Yarrowia lipolytica: one gene and its partner. The protein of the gene in region 2 purifies or fractionates together with the protein of the main gene of each other region. This does not show direct contact. Links are inferred from orthologs where the notes say so. Each region holds a gene or a part of one and is shown on either strand. Other genes may lie near its edges.

Evidence for each region. Proteins that work in one complex are often made in the same cells at the same time.
Region 1: the proteins of YALI1_B01839g (region 2) and YALI1_F14712g purify together in Saccharomyces cerevisiae (affinity purification with mass spectrometry, with the first as the bait; 3 studies listed by BioGRID). This does not show direct contact. The link is inferred for Yarrowia lipolytica from reciprocal best matches to the Saccharomyces cerevisiae genes PWP2 and RPS13.

What each region holds. Positions count from the first base shown.
Region 1 is NC_090775.1:1,470,365-1,472,589, forward strand, and holds YALI1_F14712g (40S ribosomal protein uS15), read right to left. Parts: upstream 1,484-2,225; coding exon 1,249-1,483; intron 885-1,248; coding exon 664-884; downstream 1-663. Other genes in the region: YALI1_F14688g (uncharacterized protein), read left to right, coding at 1-354. UniProt on the Saccharomyces cerevisiae protein: Component of the ribosome, a large ribonucleoprotein complex responsible for the synthesis of proteins in the cell.
Region 2 is NC_090771.1:182,638-186,400, reverse strand, and holds the start of YALI1_B01839g (uncharacterized protein), read right to left. Parts: upstream 2,450-3,763; coding exon 1-2,449. Other genes in the region: YALI1_B01826g (uncharacterized protein), read left to right, coding at 3,618-3,735. UniProt on the Saccharomyces cerevisiae protein: Required for bud-site selection and cell separation. Also involved in nucleolar processing of pre-18S ribosomal RNA.

The sequences.
Region 1 (2,225 bases), on a different chromosome or scaffold from region 2:
CTTGGATTCCTGGCGTTTGCTCACAACGACTCTTTTTACACCTCTCTCGGCTTCTTCAGCAACGACCGACCCGCCGCCTACCTGTTCAACACCCTTTATCTGCAGGTCATCAGCCCCATCCAGTACGGTGTCACCTTCCTGATGAACGGCATGTCTCGAAAGAACGAGTTTGAGGCCGACCAGTTCTCCAAGGACCTTGGCTATGGCGATGCTCTGGCCAAGAGTCTGATCACCATCCACCAGGAGAACCTCAGCAACTACGACGGCGATTGGCTGTACAACTCGTACCACCGATCCCATCCTCTGCTGCTGGAGCGACTTGAGGCGATTGGCTACAAGCCCAAGGCTCAATAAGTGCGCACTGTCGCACGGACTGAAGGAGATGTATAGTATGTAGTATAGTATAGTAAATAGTGATTCAACCGAATTATTGAAGAATGTAAAGTACAAGTAGTGGAGATTCTTTTAGGTCGACTCGACCGGAGGTTCTGGTATCCTCACATGTTTACTTCCTCTCATGGTTGTTCGGACGTTGTTCTCACTTCTTTTACAGCATGGTAGATAGAGTCGGAAACACTCGAACTACGTTCTCGTATTTCGTCCTGATGATAAATAGGCGCTAATGCATTTTCATTTTTATGTAAAGTACAACCACTAAACACTCTAGTTGACAAGAGCGGAAGCAGTGGCGGACTCGTACTTCCAGGTGGGGGGCAGAACACCAACAGACTTGTAGTATCGGGCAAGTCGGTGGATTCGAGACTCGATGAGAATGAGTCGGAACTTGGAGTCGGCGTCCTTTCGGTTCTTGTCGAGGTGCTTTCGCACAGACACAGCCTTCTTGATAAGGTGGTAGAGATCCTCGGGAATCTCGGGGGCAAGGCCTCTCTGTCAGCAGTGTTCAAAATGTGTAATTTCTCAAACAACCAATCAGAGGTTCTGGTTACCTGTGTGGAGACAAATGGTGTCGTCTGCAGTAATCACACTGTTTGACGAGTACTATGTTCTTCCACGATTCTACATGTTGTAGCGTTGACTAAAGTGAGTAGTATGAGTTGCACGAAAGAGACGTACAACACATCAAAACTTGCACTTTCGTTAAACGGAGTTAACTTGAAGAAGGTCTTTGACGAGCAGTAGCGGATGGTCATATCCATTTGAGCTCGGCAAAAACCATTCAACCCGTTTTGTTCCATTTCCAACAGGACCACAACCTCTGTGTTAATACCAATAACCATTAATACTCACCGTTGGACTTCAGGATTCGCAGAATCTTGTTACCAGTGGCAACCTTGACCTGGGAGACACCGTGGGAGTCTCGCAGGAGGACACCAATCTGAGAGGGGGTAAGACCCTTTCGAGCGTACTTGATGATCTGCTCAACGACAGCGTCGGGGGTGAGCTTGAACCAAGAAGGAGCGTTTCGAGAGTAGGGGATGGCGGAGGCGCTCATTCCCTTTCCTTTGCTGTGCATTCGACCCATTTTTGATTAGTTTGTTGTGGAGATGGTGAAAGTGAAAAGTTCAGCTGGGTTTTTACCACCGTGGTTGGGAGAGGTGTGAGTGGAAGAGTGTGACTGTCTTTCCCGATTGGGACAGTCATGTGAAAAGTTTATTGGTAGTATTGGGAGATGCACGTGAGCAGAGGAAAAAAGGGGATGACTAAAAAGCTTAATTTATACTATGTCATGAATATAATTCAGGAGATAAAAAATAAAATAAAAAAATCGTGTGAAAAGTCCAAGCCACAGGAGGAAGGGTAACAGATATGAGTGGTGGGAAATAAAAATGGGTGGTGATCTATGGTATAGTTGAGGACAAGTTACGAATGTTGCAAAAAAGTTGAGATCTTGGCCAACATCCAGATATGACTACAGGTGAAGAGTATATACTTCAACACATCCACAGAGATCGGTAGAGACTATAGTGTAGACAAGTCAGCAATGAGAACAATATATACGACAAGAGTAGGGGCACCTGTCACAAATACAGTATGTACTACAGTGTACTGTACATACTTGTAATATGTACACTATGATCCAGACTCTTGCATAAGCCTGTTCATACATGCATCGAACTGTAGCTACCAGACACCCCCGTACAAGTAATCTGTCCCTCAACATAGACAGTTGCAATAGTATCTTCTTATAGATACAATCACCACATCCTGTATGCTTTCACACTGCTGTTTTTAGCCCTTTTTAGAGTCTTTGGCAACTGTCTCAC
Region 2 (3,763 bases):
TGTTGACCCGGGTGACAAACTTCTGCACCGCCCGCAACACCTGGGCGTACTCGTGCTTGCGCTGGGCCATGTGCCGCCCATGCGCGGTAATCACGGCCTTGATCCACCGCAGATGGAACTCGGCATGGGGAGTAGCCTCAGTTGCAGAGGCCAGGAATCGCAGAAACCTTTCGAGATAGACGACCGGAAGTCCCCGCGCGACCCGCTCAATGGTGTCGACGGGAATGGACTCGTAGACACGCTGAATGAGCCGCGGAACGTTCAGTCGATGGGCCATGACCAGCGCAATCAGATACTCCTTGTTTTCCAGCGCCTCCATCGTGGTCTGGGGAGTCACGTCCACGTCCAGATCAAAGGGATCGAACATGAGCTCGTCGTCGATGGAGTACATGAGCAGACCCTCGGTGGAGGCTGCAGCAAACTGGCGACCGGTGGGCGAGAACTTGATGCCGGTGGTACGAATCTCGGGCCGGGTGCGTCGTTTGGACTTGTCGCCGCGAACCACGCCCGGAAGAGTGTCGTCCACGCGGTCCTCCCAGTCGGACCCGTCTGGGTCGTTGATCAGATTCAGAGCGCCGGCCTCGGTCATGTTCTTTGAGTTGAGGTAGTCTAGAGTGCCCTCCAGAGACATATTTCGCGACACCTCGAACCGCTTGAGCAAGACGCCCGACTGCACGTCGTACAGGCAAATGAACCGCGAGTTGCCGCCGGCAATCAGACACTTGCCGTCGGCGGAGTAGGTCATGCAGGTAAAGTACTTGGAGCGCGCCGAGTTTTTGGCAGAGAACCGGTCCGACGAGTGCCGCCCACCGCTAATGTCCTTGGCTCCATCAATGCTACCCACCTGCTTGCCCTCCTCAATGTCCCACACGGAGATTTCGCCGTTGAGTGTGGACACCGACAGCTGCTTGGAGTCGGGCCGCATCACCACCTGGAGCACGTCCGACGTGAGCTGGAACGGCTCCACCGTCTGCGTACGCGCAAAAATGTTCCACACCCGCACCGTGTGGTCCCACGACGCGGAGGCCAGAATTGACGCGTTGGCGATTTCGGCGCCAAAAGACAGACACGAGACGGGACCCTCGTGTCCGGCCAGCGTGTCCAGCAATTGGCTTGTCTGCACACTCCACACGTAGATGTCAAAGTTGTCCAGCGAGCCAGCGCACACCACCTCGCCGGAGGGGTCCACGGCCAGGGACGAAAACTGGACTCGCTCGGGGGCAGCAAAGGTGCGGAAGTTGCGGTACCGAATGAGATCCCAGGCGCGCACGGAGCCGTCCAAGGACGCCGAAAACAACACGTTGCCCTTGCGGGAGAACTCCAGGGCGGTGACCGCTGCCGAGTGCTCGGTGAACGTGACCAGGCAGAACCCCGACGAGGTGTCCCACAGCTTGATTTTGCCGTCCTCCGACGCGGTTACCACCTTGCTGCCGTCCGGAGAGTACACGAGGGAGTTCATAGAGTCAAAGTGGCCCTGCTGCTTGAGAATGTACGACTCGGATTGCCACTCCCACACCAGCAGCTGGCCCAGCTTGCTCGCGCCCAGCGCCATCCACTCTCCCGTGGAGTTGATGGTAACAAAGTCAATGCCGTGCTGAGACACGGACATGGTCTGGATCTGCGTCATGGACGGCAGCTCGTACATGGCAAAGGTGCCGTTGGCAAACCCCACCACCAGAATGTTCGATTTGGCGTGGAACGCCGAGCACTTGAGCACCGACTGCTGGTGGAAGTAGTGCCGGTCTTTGATTTTCCACCCCACAAAGCCGTCGTCACCGTCGTCGTTATCGTCATACGCCCACTCGAAACAGGCGCCGTCCTTGGATACCGTGTAGATGGTCTCCTGGTCCTGCGAAAAGAAGGCGTTGGTGATGGTGTCTCGATGACCGCCCAGCGTTGCTGCGGCGCCCGAGTCCTTATCCATCAGCGACCACACGCGGCACGTCAAGTCCTTGGACGTGGTCAGAAAGAACCGCGAGTCGTCGGACCACGTAATCGACGTGATCTCGGCAAAATGGCCCTCGTAGCGCTTGTGGCGCACAAACGGCGCAAACGAGCGGCTGTTTGTGTCGCTGGGGATCGCCCACACCTCCAGCCGCGCACCAATGTTGATGGCAAAGTACTGCGAGTCCGGCGAAAATTGAACGTCCGACACCACGTCGCGGAAATTGAAATGATGGATCACCGTCCGTCGCTTGAAGTTGACCAGAATCGCCTTGCCGTCGTCCGACACTGTCAGCATCAGCGAGCCCTGCGCATTCAGAGCAATGCACGTGATGTTGCGCCGGTGCTCGTACGGGAACGTGAAGGAGGTGTTCTTCACCAGATCGAAATACGACACCCGGTTGCCCACCGGCGAAAGCAGCGCCGTGCCGTCAGGCGTAAACACCAGGTTTCCCTGCCGATACACGGTCCCCAACAGATTCGAAAATTTGTAGTCCGCCTTCATGTCTGTGTAGTACGGGAAATGTGTCTAGGTGGTTCTGTTGTCTGGGTGGAGTTGTGTGAGTAGAAAAAATATGCACGATTTCGATTTTTTTTAAACAAGGTTTGGGGGAGGGCGGAAGAGGTCATAATCTGTGCCTGAGGGGGGAGCACGTCGGAGAGAGTTGAAGGGTATCATTGCGTTACTCTCGTCGAGACGAACAAAATGATATGTTTGGATTTTCTGTGGGAGTTGTCGTTGCAATGTTGGGCCGGAAGAGTCAGAGTGGCAATATTTTTCAGTGAAAAATCTTATTTAAATAAATCGAAATAAATGAGCGTGAATTGAAGTCACTCGTTGTGGTTGGTAGAAAAGAGAAATGGGAAAGATGTACCTCATTTTGTGGTCTCCGGATGATTCTCAACGACATGATACGTTTGAATTACATTTGTGGTGATTGTGAACATGTTTGGATCGCACTGGCCACTGTGAATGGACTCTGTAGGACCACTAACCAATGATCGCATAAACACAGTACAAATAGCCAATGACATCAACGGAAACAATCGTAGTATTGATCCCGCCAACCATAGAAACATAATGACCCTCTTCCGAGTCCAATCGGAGCACTATTCGTGGATATAGATGGATCTTGCTGGATCAGTACTCTAGCCCCATCCAATAGTGAACCGGTCAAGACCAACTCGACGAATAATGGACGCATAGGAATTCTAAAAGAACCATCAGACTCGCAGAGAAAAAAGCTCTCGACTCCTTGTTCAAGTCCCGTGATTCATCTCTTCTCCGCCACGCCCTTTTGCAATCACGTTCAGGGTCCCCACTAGCGACATTAGTCTGGGATGGTTGTGTGGAATTAGGAGTCTGGTAGTTTTTGATCCAGTGGCTTTATGGCTTATATAATTATATCAAAATACTCCCTGGCTTGCGGAGAGTTCAATGGTGGCATTTTTATCTTTCTCCGACCACTATCAGGTCCCCAAAATCGGTATTGTAGACTTCCATCACTGCTAAGTTTAGACGATGGTCTAACTTTTTTAGTTCGAAAGCTGATAACGTGAAATTTATCCTGGAGACTAATTATTGTTCCAGAAACTTCCAGCTTTGATATCTAGTGATTTCGAGCAACATTGAGACCACAATATCCACTGTTGCTGTTGTTGTACCTCGGCTCATGTTGGAAATAAGGTTTACAGATTGCCGTATACGTGCAGGAGAACTGCGACGCCCAAGATTCCGCGCGACATGTTCGGACCCGGAGGAGATAATGTGGCCGTTCGGGGTGTCGTTGGGTTTGTCTCGAGCTGACTAGACGATTTC